Linked DNA regions of Saccharomyces cerevisiae S288C. Each later gene encodes a partner of the first gene's protein in a complex. Each region holds a gene or a part of one and is shown in the gene's direction. Other genes may lie near its edges. The genes, in order: TFB1, RAD4, TFB4 and RAD2.

The links.
Region 2: the proteins of TFB1 (region 1) and RAD4 are in contact, whole or in part, in an NMR structure (PDB 2M14), measured with the Saccharomyces cerevisiae proteins. Residues at the interface, in NP_010597.3 of Saccharomyces cerevisiae: Asp46 (codon at 2,322), Lys47 (codon at 2,325), Leu48 (codon at 2,328), Gln49 (codon at 2,331), Ala50 (codon at 2,334), Thr51 (codon at 2,337), Pro52 (codon at 2,340), Ser55 (codon at 2,349), Lys57 (codon at 2,355), Met59 (codon at 2,361), Leu60 (codon at 2,364), Arg61 (codon at 2,367), Met88 (codon at 2,448), Gln105 (codon at 2,499), Ile108 (codon at 2,508), Lys112 (codon at 2,520); in NP_011089.4 of Saccharomyces cerevisiae: Asp91 (codon at 3,355), Glu93 (codon at 3,361), Glu94 (codon at 3,364), Phe95 (codon at 3,367), Glu96 (codon at 3,370), Val98 (codon at 3,376), Thr99 (codon at 3,379), Asp100 (codon at 3,382), Gly101 (codon at 3,385), Asn102 (codon at 3,388).
Region 3: the proteins of TFB1 (region 1) and TFB4 are in contact, whole or in part, in a cryo-EM structure (PDB 7K01), measured with the Saccharomyces cerevisiae proteins. Residues at the interface, in NP_010597.3 of Saccharomyces cerevisiae: Gln467 (codon at 3,585), Gln471 (codon at 3,597), Met477 (codon at 3,615), Asp478 (codon at 3,618), Asn482 (codon at 3,630), Leu486 (codon at 3,642), Asn487 (codon at 3,645), Gln488 (codon at 3,648), Pro491 (codon at 3,657), Asn492 (codon at 3,660), Asn493 (codon at 3,663), Val503 (codon at 3,693), Ile504 (codon at 3,696), Ala506 (codon at 3,702), Ile507 (codon at 3,705), Asn510 (codon at 3,714), Ala511 (codon at 3,717), Gln513 (codon at 3,723), Ala514 (codon at 3,726), Lys515 (codon at 3,729); in NP_015381.1 of Saccharomyces cerevisiae: Ser49 (codon at 1,902), Ile51 (codon at 1,908), Glu55 (codon at 1,920), Val59 (codon at 1,932), Tyr130 (codon at 2,145), Glu136 (codon at 2,163), Glu141 (codon at 2,178), Glu242 (codon at 2,481), Gly243 (codon at 2,484), Ile245 (codon at 2,490), Gln246 (codon at 2,493), Tyr247 (codon at 2,496), Ile262 (codon at 2,541), Val263 (codon at 2,544), Lys264 (codon at 2,547), Pro265 (codon at 2,550), Asn266 (codon at 2,553).
Region 4: the proteins of TFB1 (region 1) and RAD2 are in contact, whole or in part, in an NMR structure (PDB 2LOX), measured with the Saccharomyces cerevisiae proteins. Residues at the interface, in NP_010597.3 of Saccharomyces cerevisiae: Leu48 (codon at 2,328), Gln49 (codon at 2,331), Ala50 (codon at 2,334), Thr51 (codon at 2,337), Pro52 (codon at 2,340), Ser55 (codon at 2,349), Lys57 (codon at 2,355), Met59 (codon at 2,361), Arg61 (codon at 2,367), Met88 (codon at 2,448), Ser90 (codon at 2,454), Lys101 (codon at 2,487), Gln105 (codon at 2,499), Ile108 (codon at 2,508), Ser109 (codon at 2,511), Lys112 (codon at 2,520), Asp113 (codon at 2,523), Asp115 (codon at 2,529); in NP_011774.1 of Saccharomyces cerevisiae: Leu665 (codon at 4,322), Ser666 (codon at 4,325), Glu667 (codon at 4,328), Leu669 (codon at 4,334), Phe670 (codon at 4,337), Glu671 (codon at 4,340), Asp672 (codon at 4,343), Val673 (codon at 4,346), Pro674 (codon at 4,349), Thr675 (codon at 4,352), Lys676 (codon at 4,355), Ser677 (codon at 4,358), Ile679 (codon at 4,364).

Annotation. Positions count from the first base shown.
Region 1 is NC_001136.10:1,082,879-1,088,377, forward strand, and holds TFB1 (TFIIH/NER complex subunit TFB1), read left to right. Parts: upstream 1-2,186; coding exon 2,187-4,115; downstream 4,116-5,499. Other genes in the region: SUM1 (Sum1p), read right to left, coding at 1-1,438; SSF2 (rRNA-binding ribosome biosynthesis protein), read left to right, coding at 4,703-5,499. UniProt on the Saccharomyces cerevisiae protein: Component of the general transcription and DNA repair factor IIH (TFIIH) core complex, which is involved in general and transcription-coupled nucleotide excision repair (NER) of damaged DNA and, when complexed to TFIIK, in RNA transcription by RNA polymerase II.
Region 2 is NC_001137.3:499,743-505,978, reverse strand, and holds RAD4 (Rad4p), read left to right. Parts: upstream 1-3,084; coding exon 3,085-5,349; downstream 5,350-6,236. Other genes in the region: chromatin-remodeling ATPase CHD1, read right to left, coding at 1-587; GCG1 (gamma-glutamylcyclotransferase), read left to right, coding at 2,197-2,895; SPT2 (Spt2p), read left to right, coding at 5,631-6,236. UniProt on the Saccharomyces cerevisiae protein: Involved in nucleotide excision repair of DNA damaged with UV light, bulky adducts, or cross-linking agents.
Region 3 is NC_001148.4:669,369-674,114, forward strand, and holds TFB4 (TFIIH/NER complex subunit TFB4), read left to right. Parts: upstream 1-1,757; coding exon 1,758-2,774; downstream 2,775-4,746. Other genes in the region: exocyst subunit SEC8, read left to right, coding at 1-1,505; BRR1 (Brr1p), read left to right, coding at 3,103-4,128; YMC1 (organic acid transporter), read left to right, coding at 4,383-4,746. UniProt on the Saccharomyces cerevisiae protein: Component of the general transcription and DNA repair factor IIH (TFIIH) core complex, which is involved in general and transcription-coupled nucleotide excision repair (NER) of damaged DNA and, when complexed to TFIIK, in RNA transcription by RNA polymerase II.
Region 4 is NC_001139.9:1,006,405-1,013,095, reverse strand, and holds RAD2 (ssDNA endodeoxyribonuclease RAD2), read left to right. Parts: upstream 1-2,329; coding exon 2,330-5,425; downstream 5,426-6,691. Other genes in the region: TNA1 (Tna1p), read right to left, coding at 1-611; MTM1 (Mtm1p), read left to right, coding at 5,791-6,691. UniProt on the Saccharomyces cerevisiae protein: Single-stranded DNA endonuclease involved in excision repair of DNA damaged with UV light, bulky adducts, or cross-linking agents. Essential for the incision step of excision-repair.

The DNA of each region.
Region 1 (5,499 bases):
TATCTGAATTAGCTGAAAATTTAATGACGTTGTCAGTATTATTATTATTGGTCGTATTATTACCACTATTTTCGCTGGATGATTTGATGGTTATTATTTTCTCCTTCTCGGTTTTATTTTCTTCAACATTTACCTTTCCTTCCACGTTATTATGAACAGTATCAGTAGTATTCGAATCCTCTGCGTTTGGATCACCATTAGTTGAAATTAGAGAGGCCAGTTCTAAACTTTTAATGTCTATTTCTTGTGTGGCTGACCTTGAAGTCCGAACCGGAGCCGGTTGTGACACAGGATTGGATGGAGATGATGGTATTTGATGAAATTTGGAAGATGGAAGCAAGGAATTTATTGGAATCTCGTTTTTAATCCGATTAGATGCATCTGACTTATCTATCGTATCCGTGGAATTGGATATCATTGTTTCCACTGTTCTCTTTTTTGGGGGCCTGCCTCTTTTTCTTTTGATTTGAATTAAGTTGTTCGGCGTAACAGGTGTTGGTGTGATGGAGCTAGAATTAGCAGTGGATGGTCGCTCTTTACCATTTTCATTGTTCGTTCTTTGCGGTACGGAAGTCAAGGACATATCAGCATCATCTCTTGATGATGAAGGGGCAGATAATAAAAGCGACTCTTGTTTCGTTGATGGTTCCACAAAATACCTTTTGGATTTAGACGTTTGTACTACGGCAGTCGGTAAAGTAATATTTACTGGTGAGAAAGGAGCACCCTGATTGGATGCACTTTTGAGATTGACCGAGGCTGCGTTTGACACTAACTTATTCATTGTGGAGGTCGAGGCATCTTTTCTTGGCCTGCCAGGTCCCCTTCGAGAAGAAGAGGTATTATGCTGTGAACTGGTATTGTTGGATGAATTTTCTATGAGAAGGTTAGAGTGATTTACTTTCGAAGTATTTTGCAACATTGTCGATAATTTGTTCAATCGTTCATTCAAATTATTGACCAATATGTCAGTATTTACTTGATTCTTCATGACATCATCCAGCTTATTTTCCAAAACTGATTGGTTGTGTGATAAAACTTTTAATGAGTTAAACAAATCCTGCACAGAATCAGTGAGGGAAGTGTCTTTGGAAAGCAAAGCCGTCTTCAAATCGTTGCATTGTTTTGTGACTTTGTCCATACCCTCTTTTAGGGCTTCAATAGATGAATGTGGAAAGGCCTCGGAATCTTTTATATGAAGCGGATTTGAACCAAAACCAGAGCCAACTTGTCGTTTTATATCAGAATCATCACTGACTGGTATGTCTGTGATGGATGGCAAAGCTTTAGCGTTCGCATCTGTATCTAGCTTCCTCAAACTATTAGCTTGATTTTGAGCACTGGTAAGTGCTAACGTATCTACGTCATCTTTGGGTCCAGACGGAAGTCTCTGTTCATTGGTTATGTTATCAGAAGGGGCTGTGGTGTTCTCAGACATCCCCGCAACAAACGAATTTTGTTAATTATGTATGAAACTTTTCGTTTGATCTCAATAATACCACTAGCGACTAAATTTTTATGATACTTAGCTACTTTAAACAAGTCCCTTGTGCTCTGTTTGCTGACACTTTTGATAAAATATGCCTGTGTATAATTCTTTTAGCAGTTTATTTCAAACACAAATGGTATTAAAAGGATAGATGAAAAAAAAAAAAAAATTAAAGCCACTAGTAATGATACAATCGTGGTATCACAAGCGCTGAATGAAACAAGTGTGGCTATCTATAGCGGATGCAAGTGGAGAACTTGTGAATCCAAACTGAAATATTTTGCCATCATTTGTTGTCCTTTCCCTTTTCCATTCAGGAAAAAAAAAAAAAATTTGACGTCGCCGTCGCGTCGCAGTCATATAATTACAGCAATTTATCTTGTTGAACGACGCAAATTAATGGAAATTGTGACTTACATAGTAAGTATTAGTAAACGTAGTTAAGGCCACGTGGGAAAGATATGAAAGGAGTGTAAGTAATGGATATCGGTCTAACGAAAATGGAAACCAATCTTTAAAAATGATAGTATGATTCGACAGTAAACTAGAAAAGCCACAACCCGTGGGACATGATAAGGCTGCTCGTTTTTGACGCAATTTTTAGACAATACTGAAATTTAGCATAATAAGCTTTCCCAGTGAAAGTAATAATATTTAACCTAGGGTAGGGGTAGGGAAAAAATAAAAGTAAACCATAATGTCACATTCCGGAGCTGCCATTTTTGAGAAAGTTTCTGGGATAATTGCCATAAATGAGGATGTTTCACCCGCAGAATTGACATGGAGGTCTACGGACGGTGACAAGGTTCACACAGTTGTCTTATCCACTATTGACAAGTTACAAGCTACCCCTGCTTCCAGTGAAAAAATGATGTTGAGGCTAATCGGGAAAGTGGATGAGTCAAAAAAGAGAAAAGACAACGAAGGAAATGAGGTTGTGCCCAAACCGCAACGTCATATGTTTTCGTTTAACAATAGAACAGTTATGGATAATATCAAGATGACCCTTCAACAAATCATCTCACGGTATAAAGATGCAGATATCTACGAAGAAAAGAGAAGAAGAGAGGAGTCTGCGCAACACACAGAAACACCAATGAGCTCTTCTTCTGTTACTGCAGGGACTCCCACACCACATCTCGATACACCACAATTGAATAATGGGGCTCCGTTGATTAATACAGCCAAACTAGATGATTCTCTCTCTAAAGAAAAATTGTTGACCAATTTAAAGCTACAGCAATCTTTACTGAAAGGAAACAAAGTTCTAATGAAGGTTTTTCAGGAAACAGTCATTAACGCCGGTTTGCCTCCATCTGAATTTTGGTCAACTAGAATTCCGTTATTGAGGGCTTTTGCCTTATCTACTTCTCAAAAAGTTGGGCCTTACAACGTTTTGTCAACTATCAAGCCGGTGGCTTCATCGGAAAACAAAGTCAATGTTAATTTGTCAAGAGAAAAAATTTTGAATATTTTTGAGAACTATCCAATTGTAAAGAAAGCTTACACTGATAATGTGCCCAAAAATTTCAAAGAACCAGAGTTCTGGGCAAGGTTCTTCTCTTCGAAGTTATTCAGAAAATTAAGGGGTGAAAAGATCATGCAAAATGATAGAGGTGACGTAATCATTGACAGGTACTTGACATTGGATCAAGAGTTCGACAGAAAAGATGATGACATGCTATTGCATCCTGTGAAAAAAATTATAGATTTAGATGGTAACATACAGGACGACCCAGTTGTACGAGGCAACAGGCCCGACTTCACTATGCAGCCAGGTGTGGATATTAATGGTAATAGCGATGGTACCGTGGACATCTTAAAGGGTATGAATAGATTGAGTGAAAAAATGATTATGGCTTTGAAGAATGAGTATTCAAGGACAAATCTACAGAACAAATCTAATATTACAAACGATGAGGAAGATGAAGATAATGATGAAAGAAATGAACTGAAAATCGATGACTTAAACGAAAGCTACAAGACAAACTATGCAATCATACATCTGAAAAGGAACGCACATGAAAAGACAACCGACAACGATGCGAAAAGCTCGGCAGACTCGATAAAGAATGCAGATTTGAAGGTTTCTAATCAACAAATGTTACAACAGTTGTCATTGGTCATGGATAATTTAATTAATAAGCTAGACTTGAACCAAGTAGTTCCTAACAACGAAGTCAGCAACAAGATCAATAAAAGAGTCATAACTGCAATCAAGATTAACGCCAAACAGGCTAAGCATAACAATGTTAATTCAGCACTCGGCTCTTTTGTCGACAACACTTCTCAAGCAAATGAATTAGAGGTGAAAAGTACCCTACCAATAGACCTATTAGAAAGTTGTAGAATGCTACACACAACGTGCTGTGAATTTCTAAAGCACTTTTATATTCATTTTCAGAGCGGTGAACAAAAGCAAGCCAGTACCGTCAAAAAACTTTATAATCATTTGAAGGACTGTATTGAAAAGCTGAATGAGCTATTTCAAGACGTCCTTAATGGTGATGGTGAATCTATGTCAAACACATGTACCGCCTATTTGAAGCCAGTTTTGAACTCCATTACTTTGGCTACTCATAAGTACGATGAGTACTTCAACGAATATAACAACAATTCGAACTAGAAATATAAAGGCTCTCCAGTTGTTACCACTTTTTACATTCATATTTTTCATCTATTTACTGCATGTTACATATTACATAAAACTTAATTGTGTGTATTCTTCCTTTTTGGTCTTTAGTCTCTATGTAAACAATAGAAAAACGCGGGACTCGATTAACGCTGTGCTGCACTGATGCAGCCGTGCGTGTAAATAAAACATTTAACGTGAAAACGCGCGCGAATGGCTTGTGAAACAAACAAGAAACAAACGGGAAATATTTCAGCATGTGATGTGGCTGAAAATTAGCAAACGATTCGTCAAAATAAATCAGTAATGGTGCTTTAGTTCTATTACAGCTTGCTAATGGTTCAGTAATATTTTCAAAAATTTTGCCAAACAGACCTAAGCACTTGCAATACTCCAGACTGTTAGTTCAGTCATTATCTATCATCTTGGACGATTTTGCAATTTTTTAGTGTAGATGCATCTCATCGACGGGCTTGTATGAATGATATTAAATAGGCAAAATAAACTAGTCTAGCTAATATTCGACTAAATTGCAGCTGCTAGGTCACCATCCCGCACATACCTTAGATATTTTGGAACTAATGGCTAAAAGAAGGCAGAAAAAGAGAACGCATGCGCAGATCACACCCGAGCAGGAACGAGATATTCCTAAATCCATGGTAATCAGAGTGGGACAAACTTCATTGGCTAACCATTCTCTAAACCAATTAGTAAAGGATTTTCGCCAGATCATGCAACCGCATACGGCCGTAAAACTAAAAGAGCGCAAGTCCAATAAACTGAAGGATTTTGTTGTTATGTGTGGCCCATTAGGTGTTACGCATCTTTTCATGTTCACTCAATCTGAAAAAACAGGAAATGTCTCGCTAAAGATAGCTAGAACTCCACAAGGTCCTACTGTTACTTTTCAAGTATTGGACTATTCACTGGGTAGAGATATCAAAAAATTTTTGAAGAGACCTAAATCGTTAAATAATGATGATGTATTAAATCCTCCATTGCTAGTGTTAAATGGGTTTTCCACATCGAAAAGATCTGATGAAGACGATCAGGATGTAAACGTGGAGAAGGTTATTGTTTCCATGTTCCAGAATATTTTCCCACCTCTGAATCCTGCAAGAACTTCGTTGAATTCTATCAAACGTATATTTATGATCAATAAAGACAGAGAAACGGGGGAAATTTCTATGCGCCACTATTTTATTGACATTCGAGAAGTAGAGATCTCTAGAAATCTAAAAAGGCTTTATAAAGCCAAAAATAATCTAAGTAAAACAGTGCCGAATTTGCATCGAAAAGAAGATATTTCTTCTTTGATATTAGATCATGACTTAGGCGCCTATACATCAGAATCTGAAATTGAAGATGACGCTATTGT
Region 2 (6,236 bases), on another chromosome or scaffold:
ACCTTTCCTTCTTCCAAAGATGTCTTTAGTCTGTGATTGATAACAATATCAATACCGTGGAAGTCCTCTGGTTGAGGATTGGCAGATGCTTCATGCACATTTTCCTCTGATAAAGCCTCCTCGGAACCATAGTCATCTTCAGATTCTAAGAGGTCATCATCGCTATAATCGATGTTATAATTTACCGTTTTGTTTTGACGATTAGAAAACCTTGTTGGTATTTTCACTGTAGATTGCTTTTCAGATTGAGATTTTGGCTTAGATTTAGACTTTGATTTTGTTCTTGATTTCGGTTTTGATCGATTTTGTTTTATAGGAGAGCCATAATAATCATCATCTTCTTCAAAATCTTCCTCATCTTCGTCCTCTCCAGAATCTTCTTCGCCTTCTTCATCTTCAAATTCGTCTTCGTCGTCTTCAATCGTGGTCATTCTCTTCCTCCTCGACTGTTTAATATTATCTTCATCGTCCTCATCATCGCTATCGTTGAAGTAGTTTTGTTGATGCGCAGCAGCTCTATGTGACCGCCTCAGCCCATATAGTTCAGGATTTTGCAGCACTTCAGTAGAAATATCCTTGGCTGCCATTATAAGTGAGAATTAAATTAGAAAAGGTTCTGCTTTGAATTGGGTATAGGTTTAAAGAAATAACGGAAAAGTCTTGAAGCAAATGAAAAATAAAAACCTTTGAGAAACTTTGTCGTTAGTGAATAGGTAAGCTAGTGGAACTCAAGTACGAATTAAAGAAAATGATGGTCGATGTTTAGGCTTATTCAATTTTCTCCTTTGGAAGAAACAAGTATGTGTATATTCACAAAAGAAGTAACGGAAAAGAGAAGGTGACTTCTGCAAGCTTGCTTATCTTGACTTGATAACCCCAAACTTTTATCAACTTGACTTAGATGTCCGGACAAGAATACGATAGTACTAACCAGATATAATGAGGACAAGATTCTTCTACACAATGTTTCTCGTGGTACAGTTTCGAAATTGAAAAGAAGGAAAGGAAAAAAAGTAAAATTATATAACGAGAGGGTAACAGTATGATAATCGACTACTGAACTATGATCTGTTCGACAAGTGTTGCATATTACATGTCTTTAATGGTATCAATAATTGACATAATCTTATATCAGTAATGATATCAGGAAAGAACTTTGTAATGTTTGGGAACATATGTCCTAGTGTAGGGATGGGATGTGATAAGGATCGTGGGATGTTAAATTTATTCTCTTAGATGAAATTGCCTACACCTTCTGGACGGTTGATAATTAAGTTTTCAACTTTAGCGTGTTTCATTTTCAAAATATTGAAGAAGTGGCCTACCAGTGATATCCAACCGATGCGCGAGCAACACGCAAGCCCTTGGCTTGTGAGCAGCGTTTAGCTGACCGTATTACGCATTGATGGGCTGAGGAAAACATACAGGCAATCATGTCTTTTGATTTTGGCAACGTATGATCTTTTACCGTATATGGGGCAGTAACATATCATCGAAGTAAAAGCTAAAACAAAGAAAGTTAAAAAAAATAAACGTACAACATAGAAGCTTACCTTTCAAGGATATCTCAAAAGTATCAAATATATCACGGTGACTTCGGCCTGCGAAAGAAGATTTTCCTCGAACGGTGAAATACTGAGATGATCCATAAAGTAATGAGAGTGTTCTCGCTTGTATGGTTCGCTGACCTATGCCACCCGTGTTTCTCCATTGCGCAGAGGCTTCCATATTGACCACTACGTAGTGGCAACTTAAAACAATCAAAAATCGTTTTCTTCCTTAGGACTTGACTGCTTCGTCTTAAGATTATTGCCAGAAATTGAAGACAGAAAACATCAGTGAGAGGGGAGGGAGAGAGTGTCGCAACGTATGACCTCTTTTAAAGGCGTATGTCAACCAGCGGTTATCAATAGTTCCCTTGTGTTAAGGGAAGCTTGGAAGTTGTCACCAACACCTAGCAGACTTTTCTTCGACGTCCTCCCTAGTGGTTTATATGAAGAGAATGAGAAAATTTGCCACTCCAGTAATTTTTCCTTTTTTTTTTTTTTGGATTCGCCAAGGAGCGGGATAATTGGTATTCTGGGTAACGCTAAAAGGTAAGGTCAATATTAGCTATGAGTTTAGTCTCGAGGTGATTTAACCTTGGAAGAAGCAATCACGACGTTGGTTTGGGCTTATAAAAAGTTGTATGGCCAAATGACTAATGACAACAGTGGTATCTGGGTCCTAGGCTACGGATCTCTGATTTACAAGCCTCCGTCTCATTACACGCATAGAATACCGGCAATAATTCACGGTTTTGCTCGTCGGTTCTGGCAAAGTTCCACTGATCATAGGGGTACACCTGCAAACCCAGGAAGAGTGGCCACACTAATCCCGTATGAGGATATTATAAGGCAAACTGCCTTCTTGAAGAATGTGAATTTGTATAGTGAAAGTGCACCTATCCAGGATCCCGACGACTTAGTCACCATAGGGGTAGTGTATTATATACCACCAGAACATGCTCAAGAGGTTAGAGAGTATTTGAACGTAAGAGAACAAAACGGGTACACTCTACATGAGGTTGAGGTGCATCTAGAAACTAATCGGGAGCACGAGGCAGAATTGGGTGAAGCATTAGAACAGTTGCCTCGGCACAACAAATCGGGTAAACGGGTACTACTTACTTCGGTGTACATTGGTACAATAGATAATGAGGCCTTCGTCGGACCAGAGACCGTGGATGAAACTGCGAAAGTAATTGCCGTGTCGCATGGACCTAGTGGATCTAACTATGAATACCTTGCAAAACTGGAGCAAGCGCTAGCGCAAATGCCCATCATGAAAGAGCGAGGGCGTATTACCGATCATTATCTGACTGCTCTATTGGAGACTGTAAATAAATACAGGTGAATGAAATATGTATACATATCTTGATTAACTATGTAAGGTTCTCCTCTTGCTTTTCTACCATCTATATAGTGCGGCGGAAAATGGAAAAATGCGGTTAAGTACCTTTAATGCATGCACAATATATGCAAATTTTATGCAGTTCAAACAGGACGACAAGCAGAGACATAACGACACTATTTTTCCGCTAAAATGAATGAAGACCTGCCCAAGGAATATTTTGAACTAATAAGGAAGGCTCTTAACGAGAAAGAGGCAGAAAAAGCGCCCCTGAGTAGAAGAAGAAGAGTCAGAAGGAAGAACCAGCCCCTACCAGATGCCAAGAAGAAGTTTAAAACAGGGTTGAATGAATTGCCACGAGAAAGCGTTGTTACTGTAAACTTAGATTCTTCAGATGATGGCGTCGTTACGGTACCGACGGATGATAGTGTAGAGGAAATCCAGTCATCTGAAGAAGATTATGATTCGGAGGAATTTGAAGACGTGACAGATGGAAATGAGGTGGCCGGTGTAGAAGATATATCTGTTGAAATTAAGCCCTCTAGTAAAAGGAATAGTGATGCTAGAAGGACAAGCCGCAACGTTTGTTCTAATGAAGAACGGAAAAGGAGAAAATATTTCCACATGTTGTATCTAGTTTGCTTGATGGTTCATGGATTTATACGAAATGAATGGATTAACAGCAAGCGCTTGTCTAGAAAACTGAGCAACTTAGTTCCTGAGAAAGTGTTTGAGCTACTGCATCCTCAGAAAGATGAGGAACTCCCACTTAGGAGTACTAGGAAATTATTAGATGGGTTGAAGAAATGCATGGAGTTATGGCAAAAACACTGGAAGATCACTAAAAAATATGATAATGTGGGACTTTATATGAGAACCTGGAAAGAAATTGAAATGAGCGCCAATAACAAAAGAAAATTCAAGACGTTGAAAAGATCTGACTTTTTAAGGGCCGTCAGTAAAGGTCACGGAGATCCTGATATTTCAGTGCAAGGTTTCGTTGCGATGCTCAGGGCTTGTAATGTTAACGCACGACTTATCATGTCATGTCAACCGCCAGATTTTACCAATATGAAGATTGACACTTCTTTGAATGGAAACAATGCGTACAAAGATATGGTCAAGTATCCGATTTTTTGGTGTGAAGTGTGGGACAAATTCTCTAAGAAATGGATAACTGTTGACCCAGTAAATCTCAAAACCATTGAACAGGTCAGACTTCATTCCAAGTTGGCACCGAAAGGCGTGGCGTGCTGCGAAAGAAATATGTTGAGGTACGTGATTGCTTACGATCGGAAGTATGGCTGTAGAGATGTAACTCGAAGATATGCCCAATGGATGAACTCTAAAGTAAGAAAAAGAAGAATTACTAAAGATGACTTTGGTGAGAAATGGTTCAGAAAAGTGATAACAGCACTTCACCATAGAAAGAGAACCAAAATTGATGATTACGAAGATCAATATTTTTTTCAGAGAGATGAAAGTGAAGGCATACCAGATTCGGTGCAGGATTTGAAAAACCACCCATATTATGTTTTAGAACAAGATATCAAACAGACTCAAATTGTAAAGCCAGGATGTAAAGAGTGTGGATATTTAAAAGTACATGGAAAAGTTGGGAAGGTTTTGAAAGTTTATGCAAAAAGAGATATTGCGGATTTGAAAAGTGCTAGACAATGGTACATGAACGGCCGAATTTTAAAAACTGGTAGCAGGTGTAAAAAGGTGATAAAGAGGACAGTTGGAAGGCCTAAGGGCGAAGCAGAAGAAGAAGATGAAAGATTATATAGCTTTGAAGACACAGAATTATACATCCCTCCATTAGCCAGTGCGAGCGGTGAAATAACCAAGAATACATTTGGAAACATCGAAGTTTTTGCACCAACGATGATACCTGGTAACTGTTGTTTGGTTGAGAATCCTGTGGCAATTAAAGCTGCTAGGTTTTTGGGGGTGGAATTTGCACCTGCTGTAACTTCTTTTAAGTTTGAACGCGGCAGTACAGTTAAGCCAGTTTTAAGTGGCATTGTTGTTGCAAAGTGGCTCAGAGAAGCTATTGAAACCGCTATTGATGGAATAGAGTTTATTCAAGAGGATGATAATAGGAAGGAACATTTGCTTGGTGCTTTGGAGAGTTGGAATACTTTACTGCTAAAACTGCGTATTCGTAGCAAGCTGAACTCCACATATGGTAAAATTGCCGAGGAAGAACCTAACGTTACGAAGGAACAGAATATTGCGGACAATCACGATAATACGGAGACTTTTATGGGAGGTGGGTTCCTACCAGGTATAGCAAACCACGAAGCAAGGCCGTATAGTGAACCTTCAGAGCCAGAAGATAGTTTAGATTATGTTTCTGTTGACAAAGCGGAGGAAAGTGCTACAGACGACGATGTCGGGGAGGATTATTCGGATTTTATGAAAGAACTAGAGATGTCAGAGGAATCAGACTGAAATGAGGCTGAAACGGTTTGAATAATTAGGAAAGTATGTTTTTAATAAAGAAATTCTATGTTCAGGAATTTTGTATATACTTTGTAATGAATGAGAACTTAGTTGGCTTCAAACTTTTTCGTTTAACATGATTATTTTTCTTGTTCGACTAAGATATTCCCACATGGACAAGTGCCACAGATTAATATATGAATACAATAAAATAACTAGTGTAATTTGAAAATAAAAGTTGATGAGAGGGACAGGGACTTGAGTCCTATTCAAAGTGAAATATTTTAGTTATGAGTTTTCTTTCCAAACTTTCCCAAATACGAAAATCAACGACTGCATCAAAAGCCCAAGTGCAAGATCCATTACCCAAGAAGAATGACGAAGAGTATTCCTTGTTACCCAAAAATTACATAAGAGACGAAGATCCTGCAGTAAAAAGATTGAAGGAGCTGAGGCGGCAGGAACTGTTAAAGAATGGTGCTTTGGCTAAAAAAAGTGGTGTAAAACGGAAACGTGGCACCTCATCTGGATCTGAGAAAAAGAAAATAGAAAGGAATGACGATGATGAAGGTGGCCTTGGAATTAGGTTTAAGAGGTCTATTGGAGCAAGTCATGCGCCACTCAAGCCAGTTGTAAGGAAGAAACCTGAACCTATCAAAAAGATGTCATTTGAAGAGCTAATGAAACAAGCGGAAAATAATGAGAAACAGCCCCCAAAAGTTAAGTCATCGGAACCCGTAACTAAGGAACGCCCACATTTTAACAAGCCAGGTTTCAAAAGTTCAAAAAGACCACAAAAGAAAGCATCCCCTGGCGCAACATTGCGTGGAGTATCTTCTGGAGGCAATAGCATAAAATCATCAGACTCACCCAAGCCCGTCAAGCTCAACTTGCCC
Region 3 (4,746 bases), on another chromosome or scaffold:
AATCGACATCTACAATTGTTCCCAGTGTCTTAACACAAAATACTATTTCATCCCTAACCTTTTTCGATGATTATATGAATAAAAGTTTTCTCCCAAAGATTCAGATGACTATGGATTATTTATTCACGGTTGAAGTAGAATCCAATAATCCGTACGCCTTAGAGCTATCCGATGAAAATCATAACATTTTTAAAACAGCATTAGATTTTCAAAGGTTATTTTACAATTTATTGAATGTTTTCAACACAGCAAACACATTTAGAGAAAAAATATCGTACTGCATTCTAGATCTTTTGAATCATTTTTATAATTACTACTTGGGGCTATTTAATTCCTTGATTGGTACTTCTGATAGACATTTAACTAGGAAAATAATTACGGCATGGTTGCAGAATGGTATTTTGATGGATCAAGAACAAAAAATTCTGAATGGGGATGAGACACTCTTTCATGAAGAATCCATAGAGTTATTTAAGGAAATACCTCATTTCTATCAAGCGGGTAAAGGTTTGAGCAAATCTGATTTATTCAATAACTTGACATTGGACACAATTCTGCAGTTTTCGGCAAGCGTGTTATGGATATTAAACTGGCTGCCAGGCTTAAAAAAGGCTATCAATATTGATGAAGTAAGCCAAGAACCCATGTTAGATGCTGATAGATTAAGGAGCAGCTGGACATTTTCTGAATCAATGGATTTAAACTATTCGAACCCTAGTTCCAGCCCAAATTCATTAGGAAATCTAAAAATTTTATTGGATGATAAAGCCTCCAAAAAATTTGATGAGACTATCGACGGATTCAAAACCTTGAAATTCAAACTAATCACTATACTGAGGTTCAACATTAGGGCCTTGTGTATATACGACATCGGGTCTTTTTTTCAAAACACCAAAATTTGGAATATGGATGTGGGTAGTATTGAATTAGATCAAAATATAGCTTCTCTAATTTCCGAATTAAGAAGGACTGAAAGCAAATTGAAACAACAGTTACCAGAAAAGGAAAAAAACTCCATATTTATTGGTCTTGATATAGTCAACAACTACGCCTTGATTAAGGGTGCCAAATCCATAAAAGTTTTGAACCATAACGGGATAAAGAAAATGTTGAGAAATGTAAATGTCTTACAACATGCCTATAGAAATCTTTCTTCTGAACCATCAAAAATTAATATGAACGTCACAATGAATTTTTACTCTTTATGCGGCTCCAGTGAAGCTGAACTATTTGAATATATAAAAGACAATGAATTACCGCATTGTTCTGTCGAAGATTTGAAAACCATATTGAGGCTGCAGTTTAGCGAGGAAATGCATCGTCAATTGAAGAGACAAAGCACTAGCTCAACTAAGGGTTCCATAAAACCTTCCAATAAGAGGTACACTGAAGCTTTGGAGAAACTAAGTAACCTCGAAAAAGAGCAGTCGAAAGAAGGAGCCCGCACCAAGATTGGAAAACTTAAAAGCAAATTGAATGCTGTCCATACTGCAAACGAAAAATGACATTTTTAGTTTGTGTAAAATTAATTTGATAAATAAATGAATGAAAATGATCAATAATAAGCGAATAACTATATTTTTAATTACCTTATTTTTACAATATTTTTCACTTGCACTTTTATTTTATTTTCAGCGCGCAGCTCGTCTTGTTCTGTTGAAATTCAAAGATACCTGAAGGAACATTACAACATCAATCAACACTTGAGTAGAAATATACACGATCCAATAAAATATACTGAAGCGAAGCAATCAGAAATGGATGCAATATCTGATCCAACGTTTAAGCATGCTAGATCAAGAAAACAGGTTACTGAAGAATCACCATCTTTGCTTACCGTTATTATAGAAATTGCACCAAAGTTATGGACAACTTTTGATGAGGAAGGAAATGAGAAAGGAAGTATAATAAAGGTTTTAGAGGCATTGATAGTATTTCTCAATGCTCACTTAGCGTTCAATAGCGCCAACAAAGTAGCAGTCATTGCTGCATACTCTCAGGGAATCAAATATTTATACCCAGAGAGCACATCTGCTCTAAAAGCCTCTGAATCTGAAAATAAAACCCGTAGTGATCTTAAGATTATTAACTCAGATATGTATAGACGTTTTAGAAACGTTGATGAGACGCTAGTGGAAGAAATATATAAACTATTTGAGTTAGAAAAGAAACAAATCGAACAAAATAGTCAAAGGAGCACGCTAGCAGGTGCCATGTCAGCTGGGCTGACTTATGTAAACAGAATATCAAAAGAGTCAGTAACTACCTCATTAAAATCAAGGCTACTTGTTCTTACGTGCGGGAGTGGCAGTAGTAAAGATGAAATTTTCCAATACATCCCTATAATGAACTGTATTTTTTCCGCAACAAAAATGAAATGTCCCATTGATGTCGTAAAGATTGGTGGTTCTAAGGAAAGCACGTTTTTACAGCAAACGACGGATGCCACAAATGGCGTTTATTTACATGTTGAATCTACAGAAGGGCTAATTCAATATTTAGCAACTGCAATGTTTATTGATCCGTCGTTAAGACCTATAATTGTTAAGCCAAACCATGGATCTGTAGATTTTAGGACATCATGCTATTTAACAGGGAGAGTTGTTGCCGTTGGATTCATCTGTTCAGTTTGCCTATGTGTCTTATCAATCATACCGCCCGGAAATAAATGTCCTGCTTGTGATTCTCAATTTGATGAGCACGTAATTGCCAAGTTGAAGAGGAAACCAGTTGTTCCAAGGTTGAAAGCCAAAAAGAAGGTGACGAAACCATGAACGAAAGGAATGAACATTATCCGTTTCAAGCAGGTAACCTTCGTCACAATGCATCGTAATAATACATAAAAAAAAATTAGCTTTAAGCACATGTATATTGGACATTCCACAGAAAAAAAAAAGCTTTTGATGTGATTAGCTTAAGACGTTGTGTCATCTTTGAACTGTTTTGACTTCAATCATATCGAATTTGATAATATAACTATCTATGTACTGTCTGGGTGCATCGCTGTTGTTGCTTCGGTAGATTTATTAGTTCGCTTTGGATAATGTATCATACAATAACATTGCCAACATCCATCATAACAGAAACATTAGGTGATAAACAATGAAAAGAGGAGAAAGCCAGGCGCCTGATGCCATCTTTGGTCAATCTCGTGCATTTGCACTATCTGATTCTTCAGTGAATCCTGATGTCATTGAATATCTTAAAAGTGTTAGGCAAGAAGCACTAAGAACCAACGCCATATCGATTAAGAATCATATGAATCTGCAAAAGAGGACGCGTCACAAATCAAGCATGTACGATGATGAGGATGAGGGGGCCCTTAAAAGGCACGCCATCTCGCCATCCTTGATTAGGCTTCAAAGGAATGTAGAAATATGGGTAAGGTGGTTTAACTCTGTGAAGGCGACGGTGTTGACTAATGCCTACGAGTTTACCGGTTATGAGGACGAAACACTGGATCTTTTATTGCTTTTCTTAAAGAATTATCTCGAAGATATGCCCAGCAAATGTACTACAGTTGAAAAAATTATAAGTGTCCTAAATCAGCATTCCTTTCCTGAGAAGGCAGAAGAGAAGGAAGAAAATCTTCAGATTGATGAGGAATGGGCGAAGAATATTTTGGTACGGCTGGAAAAAACCAAGATTGACAGTGTTGAGGATGTAAAAAAAGTAATCACTGAAGGAGATAAACATGAACTAGTTGGATACAACCAGTGGTTCCAATACCTTATAAACAATGAACCGCAGCATACTACTTTTCATGAAAAGATTACCTCTAAGCAACTTTGGGTTCTGATCAAGTATATGTCGAATACATGGATAAAAGAAATACACAAGAAAGGAAGGCATTATCGTCGGCTGCAAGATTGGCTATTCTACATACTGGTACATACACCCGAAAGAGTCACGGCAGAATATACAAGCATCTTGAGAGATCTTGGAAAGAAATGCCTTGAACTGATTCAAAAGAAGCCAGTTGAAGCACATGAGAATAAAATAACACTCCCGAAGGAGATGGCGGAATTGAATGTTGAGATACCAGCCGCGGTGGAGAATATGACGATAACTGAGCTGACAGTGTCTGTTATAGCAGTGAACTATGGTCAAAAAGACTTGATAGAATAATGTAAATAAATTTCTTATGTAGTTTTTTACAGGAAGTAAAAAGTGTTATTACTTTGATTGACTCATTCTTACATTTACTGATAGGCCGAAGATAAGCGGCGCCCTAAGAAAACTCGAGCGCAAATTGTCAGCGATGATGTAGCCATGCTATAGCATCAATCAATGTCAATAAGCTAATAACAACTATCATCTATACTCCAACGCAGCTCTCTTGTTTAGGTTTCTCGTCAATCAAATTCGCATCACGAAGAAGTATGTCTGAAGAATTTCCATCTCCTCAACTAATCGATGATTTGGAAGAACATCCACAGCATGATAATGCTCGAGTCGTGAAAGATTTGCTTGCAGGTACAGCGGGTGGTATTGCGCAAGTGCTAGTGGGCCAGCCCTTTGATACGACAAAAGTTAGGTTACAAACATCGAGCACCCCAACAACAGCCATGGAAGTCGTCAGAAAGCTGCTTGCCAATGAAGGGCCTCGCGGGTTTTACAAAGGAACTCTGACGCCATTAATTGGTGTTGGTGCATGTGTTTCATTACAATTTGGTGTTAATGAAGCTATGAAGAGATTTTTTCATCATCGCAATGCTGATATGTCATCGACTTTGTCATTGCCAC
Region 4 (6,691 bases), on another chromosome or scaffold:
TACATGTTAATAGCGGGATAAATCATACCTTCAAAGGCACCCAGTAGTAGTCTGACAACGATCAATTGAGCATAATTCTTAACCCAAGCAGTTCCGAGCGAAATAGCACCGAAACAGGTCAAACAGATACTCATCATTAATGGCGGACCCATAATTTTCAGAAGGTTAGTACCTATGGGGTCGAAAAGAACATACGTCGCGAAAAAAACTGTGACACATGTGTTATATTGCGTTCCTACAAGGTGGATATCCTTGGATAGACCTGCAACTTCTGCGTTACCAATATTCGATTTATCCAGGTTAGAAAGGAAATATAGCATCCCCATAAGAGGAATCAAGTATATATCCATTTTGCGCAAGACACGCTTTTCCATTGGATGGGAAGGGGAGGGGATGCCGTCATCATCCGTGGTAGTAGCCATAATTTCCCGTTCGGTGGCAAGTTCCGACTTCTTGTCATGGCTGCGATTATGCAAGCTAGCGTCATGGCCTTCATCTTCCTGGAACGTGACTTCCGTAGGCTTTTCTTCTGATCCATCATTGGTGGGTGATATGAAAAGCACATCATCCACCAAATGCTTAGGTGACTCCATTGTAAATTTGTTGCTCATCTAGAGGTAATGACAATAGTTCAATGCTCGAAAGTGAAGAAATATTTCTTTTTTTTTTTATATAAGCCTTCTGCGCAGTCGTTTTTTTTTCAGTCGCTGTCTCACGGGGGAAAATAGTTTGAAAAAGGCGAAGAGGGGGAAAACTGTGATGTGAATACGACTTCTAAGACAGTAAATATGGACGTATGCTTATAGCTTGGAGAGTTAGTTAATATAGAGAAATATAAATAGTAGATAAGAAGTACATATGAAACAAAAAAAAAATGGCAATAAAATAACAAAAGGATCTCGAGTAGGAACATACTTCAAAGAAAGGAAAACTCATGGTTTATATATTATCCAGAATTTTTAACGTAATCGGAGATGCGACAGATATTTCAGGGTGTATGGATGAGGTCAAAACAATACTAATCACACACGCCGCGAAGCCTTCGACGGTTCGTAACCTGTCCTCATGTGTGACGCATAGGATTCTACGGTAGATCCCGAGTATGCCCGGCTGTGATTGGTAACTATGATTGCGAGTAATAAGCGATCCGGCGTCCGGTGGTATTTTCTATTTTGTTGGTGCGACCGCTTCTTCGCAGAGAATGGGTGACTTGTAAAAGGAGAGAGACACTGGAAAAACCAACAGAATACGAGCAGGAAACTAGAAAATAAAAAACTAAAAAAAAAAAAAAACAAAAAGGAAAGGAAAAATTAGTAGAAGCCGGCGACGATTGCAGAATCCAGAGGGATACCGCTGTAACAGAGAATACGGGCACCCAGACAAGTGACTGGCGCCAGACTTTGTTATTTCACCTGGACCCGAATAATAATATTAAATAGTGATAATAATAATAACATATAGCATAAATAATAATGTACAAAATAATAATAATAAATAAATAAATGGTTCACCATGGACTGTACAGGCGTTCCGGAACGCACATAGTGACAGTACAAGACCTGGTTGTGTGCCATAATGGCCGGCATGTGAAATCGCGGCTTCTGTATATGTACATATCTGTTCTTTTACCATGTCGTCCATTTTCCGTTCACTTTAGCCAACACGGCGACGTTGTGCGGAATTGATTTGAAGTCGATTTTTTCTATGGAGTATTCCCAAACTGCCCCCAAATTTTGCAAATTAGTGCGCGGGGTGAATGGGTGCGTCAGAGCATTTACTGACACCTGGCGGCATAAGCAGCGACGTATCGTGTCCAAGGCAGGCCATAGCAAGAGCGTTTGTGATTGATTTTCAAGGCGCAGATACCATTGGAACACAGTAGCGCAGAAGGTACTCCTCAAAAGAGACAGAGAGAGAAATCAGAGTCAGGGAGCTTAGTAGCTGCTGTTACCAATATTATACAATAAGTAAGGTTTGCATATGCGGAAACTTCGCACTTGAATTTTTTTTTTTTTCTTTTTTGGTAGCTTTTTGATGTTTCCAGAGGATGTGAGTCAATGAGTGGTGTGACCCCAATACCACATTTTGTTGCTGTTTTTTTTTTTTCATTGTTAATTATCACTATTTTTTTTTCTTTCTAGTATAACCCATTCGAACCTCCGTGGAGGCATTAAAAGGGAGAGTGAAAAAAAAAAAAAGAAAAGAAAAAGAAAAGATGCCGCCACATATAGAGACCTTAAAGGGATTGAAAAACTGTACGTAAATCATTGAAGGTTCTACACGTCATCCATGAAGAAAAGCATTTTCGGGAGAACGCCAAACTTCAGACATGGGTGTGCATTCATTTTGGGATATTGCAGGTCCTACGGCAAGACCGGTCAGGCTGGAATCCTTGGAAGATAAGAGAATGGCAGTAGATGCCTCCATTTGGATATATCAGTTTTTGAAAGCTGTCCGTGATCAGGAGGGGAATGCAGTGAAGAATTCTCATATTACTGGGTTCTTTAGAAGAATTTGTAAGCTATTATACTTTGGCATTAGGCCGGTATTCGTCTTTGATGGTGGTGTGCCCGTATTGAAAAGGGAAACAATACGGCAGAGGAAAGAAAGAAGACAGGGAAAACGAGAGAGTGCGAAATCCACCGCTAGGAAGCTGCTGGCTTTACAATTGCAAAACGGCTCAAACGATAACGTAAAAAACTCTACACCGAGTAGTGGCAGTAGTGTGCAGATCTTCAAACCTCAGGACGAGTGGGACTTGCCCGATATACCGGGATTCAAATACGATAAGGAAGATGCAAGAGTTAACTCTAATAAAACTTTTGAAAAACTGATGAATTCGATAAACGGTGATGGACTGGAAGACATTGATTTAGACACTATAAATCCAGCATCGGCCGAATTTGAAGAGCTGCCAAAGGCCACACAGTATTTGATATTATCGTCGTTGAGGTTGAAATCAAGACTGAGGATGGGATACTCGAAAGAACAATTGGAGACCATCTTCCCAAATAGTATGGATTTCTCAAGATTTCAAATAGACATGGTGAAAAGGAGGAATTTTTTTACTCAAAAGTTAATCAACACTACTGGGTTTCAGGATGGTGGAGCGTCTAAGCTGAACGAGGAGGTGATCAATAGGATATCCGGCCAAAAGAGTAAAGAGTACAAGTTGACTAAGACTAATAACGGGTGGATTCTTGGACTAGGGGCAAACGATGGCTCTGATGCGCAAAAAGCAATCGTAATAGACGATAAAGATGCAGGCGCTTTGGTAAAGCAGTTAGATAGTAATGCTGAGGACGGGGACGTGCTCCGATGGGATGATTTGGAAGATAATTCCTTAAAAATAGTGCGACATGAGTCTTCTAACGCGACGACAGCTCCACAGAAAAGGAGTAACCGGTCAGAAGATGAGGGATGTGACTCTGATGAATGTGAGTGGGAAGAAGTTGAACTCAAGCCCAAGAACGTCAAGTTTGTGGAAGATTTTTCTTTGAAAGCTGCAAGGTTGCCTTACATGGGCCAATCCCTAAACAACGCTGGCAGTAAATCGTTTTTGGACAAAAGACATGATCAGGCATCGCCCTCCAAGACTACTCCAACAATGAGAATTAGCAGAATCAGCGTGGAAGACGACGATGAGGATTACCTGAAACAAATTGAGGAAATTGAAATGATGGAGGCAGTGCAACTTTCTAAGATGGAAAAGAAACCTGAAGCGGACGACAAATCAAAAATCGCTAAGCCGGTAACGTCAAAAGGTACAGAGGCTCGTCCACCAATAGTACAGTATGGATTACTTGGCGCACAACCGGATAGTAAGCAACCGTATCATGTCACAAATTTGAATAGCAAATCAGAGTCGGTCATCAAAAGGACCAGCAAGACAGTTCTTTCTGAGTTTAGGCCACCGTCTCAGCAGGAGGATAAAGGGGCTATTTTAACAGAGGGGGAGCAAAACCTGAATTTTATTTCTCACAAGATACCACAGTTTGATTTTAACAATGAAAATTCCCTGCTTTTTCAAAAGAATACCGAGAGTAATGTGTCCCAAGAAGCCACGAAGGAAAAGTCTCCAATTCCTGAAATGCCGAGCTGGTTTTCTTCAACTGCTTCCCAGCAGTTGTATAATCCCTATAACACAACAAATTTCGTGGAAGATAAAAACGTAAGAAATGAACAAGAAAGTGGAGCAGAAACTACCAATAAAGGGAGTAGCTATGAACTCTTGACAGGCTTAAATGCTACGGAAATATTAGAAAGAGAAAGCGAGAAAGAGAGCTCCAATGATGAAAACAAGGACGATGACTTAGAAGTTTTATCAGAAGAACTATTTGAGGACGTTCCCACTAAATCTCAGATTTCAAAAGAAGCAGAGGATAACGATAGTAGAAAAGTCGAATCTATAAATAAGGAGCATAGAAAGCCTCTTATATTCGACTATGACTTCTCCGAAGATGAAGAAGATAACATAGTAGAAAATATGATAAAGGAACAAGAAGAGTTTGATACATTTAAAAACACGACTTTGTCCACTTCTGCTGAAAGAAACGTTGCCGAGAACGCTTTTGTGGAGGATGAATTATTCGAACAACAGATGAAGGATAAAAGAGATTCGGATGAGGTAACTATGGATATGATCAAAGAAGTGCAAGAATTACTATCGAGGTTTGGAATCCCCTATATCACTGCGCCTATGGAAGCTGAAGCACAGTGTGCGGAATTGTTACAACTAAACCTTGTCGATGGTATAATTACCGATGACAGTGATGTTTTCCTATTTGGAGGTACAAAGATCTACAAAAATATGTTCCACGAAAAGAACTATGTTGAATTTTATGATGCGGAATCTATTTTAAAATTATTGGGCTTGGATAGAAAGAATATGATTGAGTTGGCACAGCTTTTAGGGAGCGATTACACGAATGGATTGAAGGGTATGGGTCCCGTTTCAAGCATTGAAGTGATTGCAGAATTTGGAAACCTAAAAAATTTTAAAGACTGGTATAATAATGGGCAGTTTGATAAACGTAAGCAAGAAACGGAAAATAAATTTGAAAAAGACCTGAGAAAAAAACTGGTAAATAACGAAATTATCTTAGATGATGATTTTCCTAGCGTCATGGTTTATGATGCGTATATGAGACCAGAAGTCGATCACGATACCACGCCGTTTGTTTGGGGGGTACCAGATCTCGATATGCTTCGTTCATTCATGAAGACTCAACTAGGTTGGCCACACGAAAAGTCTGATGAAATTCTCATTCCCTTAATTAGAGATGTTAATAAACGCAAAAAGAAGGGGAAGCAAAAAAGGATTAATGAATTTTTTCCAAGGGAGTACATATCTGGTGATAAGAAGCTCAATACAAGTAAGAGAATTTCAACCGCAACAGGTAAACTAAAGAAAAGAAAGATGTAATAACATATACTTATGTATGATTTACTATTTATAAACATTACCTTTGTTTCTGCATGTTAACAAAGTCAACCGATCCAGGAATAGTAGATATATACGGTCCTTTTGGTATCTTTGCGTCGGTGAGGTATGACACTTTTGGCACCCACCCAAACACGCGCAACGTTATTTTTCGCCATCTTGAAGATCTCAGAATAGCAATTAGAGAATAAGACACATTCTGTCATTTTTGCATATTTCCGGGAAGATCACTCCTCTGGAATTGGGGCACACTACCCTCATATTTGTGCCAGTTCACTTCACAGGAATCGTATGAGCCAAAGCCATAAAGTATCGTAGGAAAGGAAACGAGGTGTTGATAATACGATATGAGTGATCGCAATACAAGTAACAGCCTGACCTTAAAAGAACGAATGTTAAGTGCCGGTGCTGGATCAGTACTCACTTCTTTGATTTTGACACCGATGGATGTAGTGAGAATACGGCTGCAACAGCAGCAGATGATTCCTGACTGTTCATGTGATGGGGCTGCCGAAGTGCCCAACGCCGTTAGCTCAGGCTCCAAAATGAAGACATTCACCAACGTCGGAGGACAGAACTTGAACAACGCAAAAATATTTTGGGAGAGTGCTTGTTTTCAAGAACTGCACTGTAAAAATTCATCGTTGAAGTTCAACGGTACTTTAGAAGCATTCACGAAAATTGCCAGCGTCGAAGGTATTACAAGTTTGTGGAGGGGTATTTCTTTGACCCTATTAATGGCTATTCCTGCCAACATGGTTTATTTTAGTGGTTATGAATATATAAGAGACGTTTCTCCTATAGCCTCGACGTACCCAACATTAAACCCCCTCTTTTGTGGTGCAATTGCGAGGGTATTTGCAGCAACAAGTATTGCACCTTTAGAATTGGTTAAAACTAAACTGCAAAGTATACCGAGATCATCAAAGTCCACAAAGACATGGATGATGGTTAAAGATTTATTAAACGAAACGAGGCAGGAAATGAAAATGGTGGGTCCTTCTCGGGCCCTCTTCAAAGGTTTGGAGATCACTCTGTGGAGAGACGTTCCGTTTAGTGCAATATATTGGAGTTCCTATGAACTTTGCAAGGAAAGACTATGGCTAGATTCTACTCGATTTGCATCTAAGGACGCAAACTGGGTCCATTTTATAAACAGTTTTGCCAGTGGTTGCATAAGTGGGATGATAGCTGCTATATGCACACACCCTTTTGATGTCGGTAAGACGAGATGGCAAATATCCATGA